Linked DNA regions of Schizosaccharomyces pombe. The protein of the gene in region 2 purifies or fractionates together with the protein of the main gene of each other region. This does not show direct contact. Each region holds a gene or a part of one and is shown on either strand. Other genes may lie near its edges.

Region 1 (3,344 bases), on a different chromosome or scaffold from region 2:
TACAGAATCAACAGATCTAATACTTAAGGTTCTAGAAATGTTGATTTCTAATTAATTTTTTAATTTTAGTCATGAAATTACTATCTGATGAGGCAGGTATAATACTGGAACATAGATTACTAATAGTCACCCCATTAACGTCGTTTATTAATATGTCGAGGCTGTCGTAGATGCAAATGTCTCATTTTTACTAAACAGTTTGTTCATTTGAACAAAAAGAAAGGAAAAAATAATGAATAGTATCAATAAGCAAAACGATGAATACACACATTTCCAATTTTTTTTGAAGTTCGGATTCAAAAACCGTTACAATTTAATAAATGTCGAGTACATTGATTTATACAGTAATCAAATATTCATTAATTCTTATTCAGATCATAAAGAGAATTTCATCCGAGAACGAATGGCACACTATGGGTTTCATCACACAATATCATAATAGAAACAGAAACAATAAGTATTAAACCAGCGAATGTAAGAAGATTCAGAAATAAATCTTTTTAATTACTAACCAAGCGCCTCCGTTCTAACCAGCGAGCCCATGCTAAATCCAAGGGTTAGTATACAATAAATGTACAGAAGTTTAAGGATGTAGAAAAGGTTAAGAATGAAAGACTAATAGAACAGTAATGGAAACAAAAATGTTTAAAAAATAACGAAAGATGTAAATGTAGACCAACAAGCAGACCATTTAAAAACAGTTTATAGGAAGAAAAAGCTATAATTCAAGCTGATGGAATAAGAAAATCAGTTGTGCTCAATCTTTCTCCAAAAACGGATTTTTTTGCTCTATTATTCAATTATTTGCAAAACTTATTTCCTCTTTGAGAAACTAAAAGCAAATAAAAAAAATCCACCATCTATTCCTATTCCTTTAATTTATACTAACTTACCATGAAATGCGAATTTACGACCAAGAAACTTTCCTAACAACGGGAACACCACCAAACATAAAACTCGTTCCAATTGTTCAATGGAATCCTTTAAATCATCATCCAATTCACTAGAATAGGTATCATCTTCTCCATCTGAAATTGGGTCAATTTCAAGATCTAAAACTTCGGCCATGTTGTTTTCACTAAACTGACTTTAGAATAGTTCGATTGAACTAGCAACGTTGTATTTAGAATTTAATTAAAAAATTTTTCTATTGTCAGCAATCGAAACCCCTTTAACGTATGCTTAAAAGTGTATTATTACCAAGTATGGCTCTGGTGAAGGTCACATAGTGGCTGTTACATTTATACATAGGACATTTGTCGAAACAACATTGATCATGTGAGACTAAATTTTGAAAACAGGGAGTATATTCAGCAAAAATAATTCATATTCACTGATGATAAGAGGTTATTTGTTTCTATATGCTTTACCTATGAGTTTGGGTACATTGTTTGTATTCTTGGTATTGCTAGTTTATTCAATTTCAGATGAAAGCTGAGCAGAACAGCCGCTGTCATGCTATTCGCGGATACCCTTTGTTTCACAACAAATATTTCGACCTAAGAAAAGCCTTTATTTTTGCCATCCTTACCTCTAAGTGCTTTGTTTGGTAACACTTTATTGAAGAATTGATAGACCGTTATAAACATAAAACAAAAAAAAGTTGGGAGTTTTGGTTTTTTTTAGTTACTCTTTTAAAGAATGCATTTTTCCACGAGGTTTCTTGATCGAACACAGTAGGAGCAATATAATTTATCTTCAAAACAGTTGAATGTGAAACATCAATAACTGAAGAAGTTTGGTTTTCATACCTCCTTGCGTATTCCCTATTCATAAATAAATCATATAATTTAGAATTATCCGGTATATGAAGATAGGAATTTGTGTGCTAGAATTTAGCAAGATATAAACAATGCACATTGGTGTGACATTTACAAAATTGGTTGACGAATTCTGTACTCTCACTTTTTGTCAGTAGACGTCTTTTTTAGGATCTTCTCTCAAATTCAATTATAACTAAGTTGCGTGAAACCAGACTAAATTCAATTGATAAAGTTGTTTAGTCAATTAGCATTTTTTATAACAGCATCAATGCATGTCCTAATAAAGAGTTAAGATATTTTTTTTCCTTTTAATCTTACTGTAGAAACTTAAATAGTTATTATCCTCGTAGAATTGCTCTATCCTTATTACGCGCACTCAGGAAGATGAAGACTTCACAAACACCAAATCATTGCTTAATTTTCGAAAACGCTGCGATTGTTGTTGATAGTTGACCAGAAGCATACTAATTTTTATTTACTTATATACTTGAAAAATTGCAAATCATATGGTTGAAAGTCTTTAAGGGAATGACCTAATAAATGCTAGAAAATGAAAATCAACTAACGCATCAATTTCCTACATTATCAAGATGGAACCCCATGTTTATTAGCGATGTTCATAAAATTTCATTTCATCCACATTTACAGCGTAAGTGCTCTTTCTGTAAAATAAATATCACAAAGTGATTCTTACAAATATCTAGGATACATTGGCTTCTGGATGGGATTTCCCATAAGATGGATTCAAATTGTTGGCTATATTGCGGCAATTGATATTTATGAAGGAAAGCATGTTTTAACAGGTAACGAATATCAGCATTGAGGCAATAAGCAGTTCCACTACTGCATACACGACTCATTTAGTTGTTGAATCTAGTTAAGGTTTTTTATAAAATCAACTTTTGAGAAGCATCTGCCTCTATAGCTCCCTTTTTTCTATTTCCTAACTGAATTTAGTGGATGATTGTAGCGGGATGGTATTGCGTGTCGTGTTTATTATTCAAGATGATTTTTCAATGTCAAAAAGAGCAATATCTATGTCTCCTGGAAATGTTGTCTGTGTCTTTGGAAAGATAAATTCTTTCCGATCTGAGGTTGAATTAATTGCTCAGTCGTTTGAAGAACTTCGTGATCCAAATGATGAATGGAAGGCATGGCAGAAAAGGATGAGATACAAAAAAAATTTAACCAAAATCTCTAAAAATCACCATTCAATCATTCGCACACCCAAGAAATCCTATTTTCCTAAAGATCATGCGAAGGAGTTACTTAAGTGCATAAGGCAGATGTGTAAATTAAATGTGCAAGCTGGATTTACAATTGAAGAACTCATTATTTATTTAAAAGCAAAAGAGTTGCACCTCCCACTTGTTCATATATTCAACGTCGAAAATGAAATAGTAGAGAACTGTGATGGAAATCACATACTGGCGCTTAATTTCTCTTTGCAAACATTACTACAACATGGGCGGATTGTGAGAAAGTCAAATTCAGTTTATATGCTTGTCACTTCAAAAGACATAATACGCTTTGTGATTCCTCTGATGGCAAGTGGTCTTCTCGAAGCCCACAAGGTTCAAA
Region 2 (7,942 bases):
GAAATGGCTTCAAACTTATAACCCCAGTAACACATTCGGTCTTGGTTGGCATAACTAGTTTCCGATCGAGTTCGCTCTTCCATCATAATAATTCCACTGGTGGGATCCATAACCAGATAAGTTTCCCAATGGTTTCTGGGATCCAAAGGAGCGCACATAATTTTTGTAATTAAACCACGCCAAGTAAGAAAGCTGGAATTCATCTGAATGCCTTTAGTCATGAGCACGTCCTTTACAATAGAAATAGGATCAGGGTCGGATTTAGGAGGGTGAAACCTATTAGGAAATCCCGTGTTCAGATCGGAAAATAACGGTGGAGGATAATAATAACTTAACTTGCTATCATCAAGCAGCAGTTCGCGATCTCTCGATAAACTATAACAGGCAATTTCCAAAGGCTCCGAAACCGGTGGCACGTGAGCAGGAGGCACATCGTAAAACGAAAATTCACGAAGCATGAAGCACGACGAAATAAAACTGAATGAAGTTCAAAGATTTCAACAGCAATGTACGCATAGACTTGGAATATTATGGTAAAGAGTGCAAAGAGAAAAAGCAGATGTGGTTTACCCAATGTCAAACAAGGGAATAGTCAGAAATATTAGAAAAAGAGAGATGGAAAAAGAAAAGATATTGATACCATGAATTAAATGTCTCGACCAACTGGATTTTACACCAATTGTGCTGTCGTGCACGAAATTGGTGGTGGAGCTACCTAAGATTCTACCTTGTACCGAATAACACAATGCGATAGAATACAATACGGCAAGATGACTATTGAAAATGCTAATTACAATTTGGATAAAGAAAAGAGACGCTGACTAAAAATTAATGTAAAACGTTATCTACTAGTTTATGTGCTTTACCATTCTTATCTTTATTTTATATACCGTGTACATTTAGCTCTGCTATCATTATATAACAAATATCAATGACTGCACGTAAATATACATTAGGATTACAAGTTTTAATATGTTAAGTGGTGATTTGCAATCCCTTTGATCACGTTAACTTATTATTATGACGCGCAATTCATTCACGCTAACCTAAGATTATCAAAAAATTATCAGTCCAAAGATTGATCAAGCTTGGTCAAGCTAAATTATGGAGTGTTAGTGACTTGAAGCGATCGTCGAACCTTTCGTCAAATATCAAACGAGGAATGGTTGTAAACATTTTAGACAATAACTTATAAATTGCTATATAGCGTGTCATCAAACCCCCCTAGTGCGTTATTCTACAGGGAAGCAAAGGAAAGAGAAATACAAACGATTTGTTATTAGAAAAGTAATTTGGTAGAAGCTACAAATGTAGGGTAATTTTGAAAGAGAAAAGGAAATGTATTTCATGAAGGGGACGCATTAGAATTTACTATTTCCACCTCATATTCACTCTTAATATCCCAGATGTTTTTGTGACACTTTGAAAACAAGTACTTATTAATTGACTATGTGGTATAAACCCATGGATCAAAAACCATTAGTTAAACAATATTCTTAACGTTTTTGTATCGCAACGTTTTCGTATCGAAACGCTTTAGTATCGCTAATGTCAAAGATGAAAAAATCTAAATTATACGCATGCATATCTTGGCCACCTGTGCTAAAACCGCCTACCGTTTGTCCCAAACGTTTCAATCCCAACTGATAAAAAAAGTGATTTTCTCTTTAACTTAATAAAAATCTAAAGATTTATTTTCCACTCATCCTTTCAAAGGCAATCCGAGCGTTTTGCTATCTCCGTGAAATTTTTTCCTTTTGCCCATCGTGATTGATAATTTTTTGAACATATTCATCAGAATTGTCCATGCACATTCATTTACATCTACAATGATACCTCGATGTTCGTTTTTGCCAACCTTCTGAAGGATGCAAAGTCGCAGATGAAATCATGAGTTTCGTCTATTGTTTCTTTCGATCATCCGAATATCCCCATAGAAAATCGTTTGCCTTGCAAATTGGTATCGGTTGCCGATGGCCAAGTGTACCGACCACATTTTTTATCTATCACCGCTTAGCGAGCTGGATATGGGAAGTTTAGGAAATGTTGCCCGAGCATAGATTGTAATTGAGAAGGTTAAAATCCGCAATCAAAAGTTGGAAATTTGTCGTGCGAGACGAATTATAAAAGGAAAGCGATTTCCTACGAAAACAGCATCTTTTTTTAAAAAACAAAGTATTATCATTCACATTTTGAGGTTTTTGTTTTTTTGTTTCTTTTTTTTCCTGCTTTTGCATAGAACTTAGCAAAAGAGTTTCATTGTAAACATTTGTTTTTATTTTTTATTTTTATTTTTTTAATTTTACTTTCTACTGCCTTAAGTTAAGGTTCTCCTCCATTTAGACTATACTTTTCTATTCAACATGTCTTCTACTGCCACCGTTACTGAAAGCACTCATTTTTTTCCCAATGAGCCTCAAGGCCCTAGCATTAAGACCGAAACTATTCCCGGTCCCAAAGGTAAGGCCGCTGCTGAAGAAATGTCCAAATACCACGACATCAGCGCTGTCAAGTTTCCTGTAGACTATGAAAAGTCCATTGGTAACTATCTTGTCGACTTGGATGGTAACGTTCTCTTGGATGTTTACTCTCAAATCGCTACTATCCCCATTGGCTACAACAATCCTACTCTCCTCAAGGCTGCCAAGTCGGACGAAGTCGCTACCATTTTAATGAACCGTCCTGCTTTGGGAAATTACCCTCCTAAGGAATGGGCTCGTGTCGCTTATGAGGGTGCCATCAAATATGCCCCCAAGGGTCAAAAGTATGTTTACTTTCAAATGAGTGGAAGTGATGCCAACGAGATTGCTTACAAGCTTGCTATGCTTCATCATTTCAACAACAAGCCTAGACCTACTGGTGATTACACTGCTGAAGAGAACGAGAGCTGCTTAAACAACGCTGCTCCTGGATCTCCCGAAGTTGCTGTTCTCTCTTTCCGTCACTCTTTCCACGGACGTCTCTTTGGTTCTCTTTCCACTACTCGCTCCAAGCCTGTTCACAAGCTTGGTATGCCTGCTTTCCCATGGCCTCAAGCTGATTTCCCTGCTTTGAAGTATCCTTTGGAAGAGCACGTCGAAGAGAATGCAAAGGAGGAGCAACGCTGCATTGACCAGGTCGAGCAAATTTTAACTAACCACCATTGCCCTGTCGTTGCCTGTATCATTGAGCCCATTCAATCTGAGGGTGGTGACAACCATGCCTCTCCTGACTTTTTCCACAAGCTTCAAGCTACTTTGAAGAAGCATGATGTCAAGTTTATCGTCGATGAAGTCCAAACTGGTGTCGGCTCTACCGGTACTTTATGGGCTCACGAGCAATGGAATTTACCCTATCCTCCTGACATGGTTACCTTTTCCAAGAAATTCCAGGCTGCCGGTATTTTCTATCATGATTTGGCTCTTCGTCCTCATGCTTATCAGCACTTCAATACTTGGATGGGTGACCCATTCCGTGCTGTTCAATCTAGATATATTCTTCAAGAAATTCAAGACAAGGATCTCCTTAATAACGTCAAGTCTGTTGGCGATTTCTTGTATGCTGGACTTGAAGAGCTTGCTCGTAAGCACCCTGGCAAAATCAACAACCTCCGCGGTAAGGGAAAGGGTACTTTTATCGCTTGGGATTGTGAGTCTCCTGCAGCCCGTGACAAATTCTGTGCTGACATGAGAATTAATGGTGTCAACATTGGTGGCTGTGGTGTAGCTGCTATTCGTCTTCGTCCTATGCTTGTATTCCAAAAGCACCATGCTCAAATCCTTCTCAAGAAGATTGACGAATTGATTTAAATTTTCCCTTTTTTTGTAAAAAAACAGAAAAAAAAAGAAAGATCACACTTTTTGTTCCCATGAACACCTATTCCGCATTTATGTCAACTAAAATTTGGATGGCCGATATTGCTGTTCTGTTTGTTTTGTAGTTTAATATTAGTTAATTTTATCATAATAGTCAAAAATATATGATTTCTATCAGATACAAATTTGTTCGCTGTATGAAGAGAAAAACAAATCGTTCTATCAAACATTGAAATTGTGATATAGTAGCTTAATAGTTAGGACTGATTATATTGCTAGCTATCTTGGCAATGAGAATGAAGTAGTGTTGGAATAAAAGTGACGCCGTAAATGCTAACTAATTAGCAGCAAAAGGTGGAAAAAACAAATTTATAGTTGTTACCCAAGAATTGAGACGATGCTCGGTTGGCAAACCTACTAGAACACATTTGCTTTAATTTCATTAATCTTTAAAAAAATCATTTGCCATGAAAGTGTGCTAGACAAAAAGGGGGAAATGACTGGTGTTAAAAAAACTTATAAAATTCATATCAATAGAATAGGGCCATTACAAAGGAAATAAGAAAACTAAAAAACTGATGAGAGCAATTGGATAGCTCTATAACACTTAATCTAACGTGGATTAATCCTTGAAGGTAGAAAACAAGCCCAGATTCCGGCGAAGCGACTGGCCAAAGTGAAACCCTTTCTCTTGGAGCTTTAAGAATTGGAAAATATGGCGAACAAAAACCCACATCCCTCCGCTTAAAAATGGATATAGAACGTGATCACGAAGAGTAATTAATGCAACTAAAAAGGCAGACCCATTTGCACGCTGAATAGATTGGAGATATGACTGTTGGAATCGCAAGTCCGGTATTGGGGGAGCTGTAGGAACAGTATATTCGACAGCTTCACTGTGATCCGTACCAGAGCTACTAGGAGATATCACTGTTTTTCCCTCGAATATAGTGGGAAGCTCTGCCTCTTCGACGGCAGATTCTGAATCCTCAGTTTCCCAATTACTGCTATCATCTTCTTCTTTACTCTGGAGCAAACTAAGAGAACTTGTTGAGCTCTCTACAGCACCAAGTTCATACTTGTTATGCAACGTTGAGTTCTCAGGAATACTTTCGTTCACGTCTATCTTCTTTAGTTGATTATTGATAATTATAGTGGATGAACTCAAATGTTCCATTCGCAGTGGAGAAGACGCGTATCCTGAATCTCCATGAGCACTTCGAATGCCTGATCTTTGCAAAGCGTCTTGACTGGAGCCTAAGCTGATCAATTCGTAATCTTCTTCCCACGAACTAACGTCGCTGGTTTTGTTAGAATCAGAGCGGGGAATTGGTATTCCTTTGCTTTCAGAAGACATTAATAAAGCTTCTCTAAAATCAATGTCTAATGAACAGAAATGGGTAAGCACAAGAATGATCCCAATTCTTTGTTGTTTACGTTAATATGGATTCCCGATAGCGCCACATCTACGGTGTTGCGCGATAATTGTATTACACAAAACTACGTTAAGGGCACATGTATCTTTTGAATAAGTTAAGCAATAAAGATATAACATTTTAAATGTCAGGATGCTGAAAGCAATAATTAAAGATAATGATATTATTAATTTATTAAATCTAACGGTCAAATTTTCGGTGACTCTAAGGAACGAAATGACTAACGGGTAACTTCGTATGCAAAATTTTAAAACTCATAAAATAAATTCTTTAGTAAACAAAACACCATCGGACAAAACAAATATCAAAAATTAAGAAAAAGTATGCCAACAAGACAAATATGGTAATGTAGCATTTATGACGAAGAAATGAGTGCGGACTTCTTTAACTTTTCAAAATAGGTAGAAAGGGATGTTCTAAAAGTTGCTGGTAACCAAGCACCATTACAAATACATAGCACTTTCAAATTTCGATGGTATGTCAAATCTGGTAATAACTTTGGAGTGACTAAGAAGTATTGTGAAACAGCGTTGTCACACACTGAATTGACGATATGCCTATGCACAACTCGTTCATTTCGAGGATCCATTCCTTGATTTATTTCATCAACTATTCGAAACGGAGCAATTGCCAAACCTTGTAAAGATAATAAATACATTATAGTAGATACAGAACGTTCTCCACCAGATTGTCGTTGACCCGTAAGTTTTTGAAGTCCTTCTTCCTCTCGAAATTGTACTAAAATATCGATATACCATTTATCATAATCGTCGGATTTCCCTAGTCGAACTTCTCCAGCATATCCCATTCCACTCATTCCTTTAGAAAATCTATCGCTAATACATTGAACATTCTCCTCTAACTTACTAACCCAATCCTCTTTGATTGAGTTCATCTCGTCTTGGAGCTCTTCAACGGATTGATCAAAGTCTGACATTTTCGATTCTAGTTCCTCAATTTCTTTTTTACGCGCATCATATTGTTCCATAACGTAACTATTAACATTCATAAACTTCAGTTTCGTTTCTTCGATGCTAATTTTGTTATCCACTTCCGAACTAGTAGCAAATTCTTCATTTAATTCAGTTATTGCCGTTTGTCTGTCAGATGATTGTGTCTGCAATGAATCAACCACTGAACCGTACAAGGACATAGCATCCTCCCTTGCTGAGGCTAACTTATCGGTAATATCTTTAAGACGATCTTGTACTTCTGTCAATCGAGCGTTGACTTGGTTGGCATCCATCTCGTGTTTTTCAAGTTTGTATTTCGCTTCTATGACATTAAGTCTACTTCCCAACATCTTCTCGAAATTATTCGTAGCTTTAATTGAATTCTCCTTAACTTTTAACACCGAATTCATAAGAGCTTCGAAGTTCTCTTTCCTGATATCTTCATTTTTTTCAATTTCAGCTGCAAATTGCTCAGGAACTTTCTCTCTTTGTCTTAGTAGAAGAGTTTGGTGTTCTATTCTTTCTTGTAATTGTTGCCATTCGTGAATAGGAATTAATTTTTCGTCACGCTCTTTTCGTAGAGTAGATAATATATCGTTTGTACGAGAAAGCAGCGATTCGTGCTCATTTACCTTTTCTTGTAACTTTCTTTCCTCATTCTGTAAATTTTCCAATTGAGAGAGTTGAGCATTTAGTTGCTCCTCCTTTCGCTTTACCAAATCCATCTCAACGTTCTCGGAAAAATATATACTGCGAGAAGGTAATGGGTCTGTTCGCCTAGTAATTTCTCTATCACCGTAAGCTGAACGAAAAACCAAGTGGATAGATGAGCCCGCCAAGTAAGTTTTAAGAACTGGATCCCCGTTAGCCAGACGAAAATTGTTTAACGCATTCACTGATGCGGGAGGTAGTTCCCTTTTTGCAATCGGAATTTGATGAATTTTTAACATATGGCACAAAGCAACCAAAACCACTTCTGGCCCCTCTAAAAAATCGATCACATATCCGTCAAACCCGAAAGACTGAAGCTTCTCACGAGAGCATGGAGGTTCAAAATCTTCTATCTTCTTTTTTCGTTCACTGGAGAATTCTCTTATAGTAGGAGTGTACTTAGTTTTTGAAGTGATAAGATCCATTAACTTTAGATAATCATTATAATTTGACATTATAAATGTTCGAAACGTATCCGTGCGAAAAAACCCTTCTATCAAAGCTGCAAACCCTTTTTCCTTACATTTCAAATTCATATAAATTGGGCCGTATGCGGGTGCTTCAAACGCAGATTCGTATTCCTTCAATAACTGATACGTCTGATAAGCATCTTCCCAGCCTGGAGCAGAAGACATAAAGTCTAGTTTCCTTTTCGTAGCATCGTTGTAGTAGGACAACTCTCTTTTAATGTTATCAAGGTCAATAAGCTTTTGTGCTTTCAATGTTCTGATACTACCTAGTTCATGAGAGCTCTCAAGTTTCTCGTTTTCATGTTGAAGTTTTTCCGCATTAACTTCTTGCATCTTTTCTTGTAGATCTTGAACACCGTTATCCGAAGGTCTTGGGCCTTGTCTTTCTGTTAATGACTTCACCGATTGTTGTGCTTCATTTAATGTAAGATTTGCATTCCGTAAAAGTGTTCGATTGGTATTAACCTTCTCATAAAGCTTTTTCTCGTTCTCCATGAAATTCGAAAAAGAAGCTCTGGCTCTTAAATTTGAGGTATTAAGTTCCATCGAAGCGGAGGAGTAATCGTTAAATGTATCAT

The links. Proteins that work in one complex are often made in the same cells at the same time.
Region 1: the proteins of atg43 (region 2) and mim2 purify together in Schizosaccharomyces pombe (affinity purification with western blotting; one study listed by BioGRID). This does not show direct contact.

What each region holds. Positions count from the first base shown.
Region 1 is NC_003423.3:1,162,042-1,165,385, reverse strand, and holds mim2 (protein mim2), read right to left. Parts: upstream 1,217-3,344; 5' UTR 1,069-1,216; coding exon 894-1,068; exon of another isoform or gene 878-893; intron 707-877; exon of another isoform or gene 545-706; coding exon 501-544; downstream 1-500. Other genes in the region: telomere cap complex subunit Stn1, read left to right, coding at 2,304-2,412, 2,468-2,566, 2,721-3,344.
Region 2 is NC_003424.3:5,220,821-5,228,762, forward strand, and holds atg43 (mitophagy receptor Atg43), read right to left. Parts: upstream 5,230-7,942; 5' UTR 5,152-5,229; coding exon 4,417-5,151; 3' UTR 3,789-4,416; coding exon of another isoform or gene 2,364-3,788; 3' UTR 983-2,363; downstream 1-982. Other genes in the region: RNA NAD-cap (NAD-forming) hydrolase/RNA pyrophosphohydrolase Din1, read right to left, coding at 1-458; SPOM_SPAC19D5.10C (uncharacterized protein), read right to left, coding at 567-821, 891-899; uga1 (4-aminobutyrate aminotransferase (GABA transaminase)), read left to right, coding at 2,364-3,788; Smc5-6 complex SMC P-loop ATPase subunit Smc5, read right to left, coding at 5,586-7,942. UniProt on the Schizosaccharomyces pombe protein: Mitophagy receptor that tethers atg8 to the mitochondrial outer membrane to promote selective autophagy.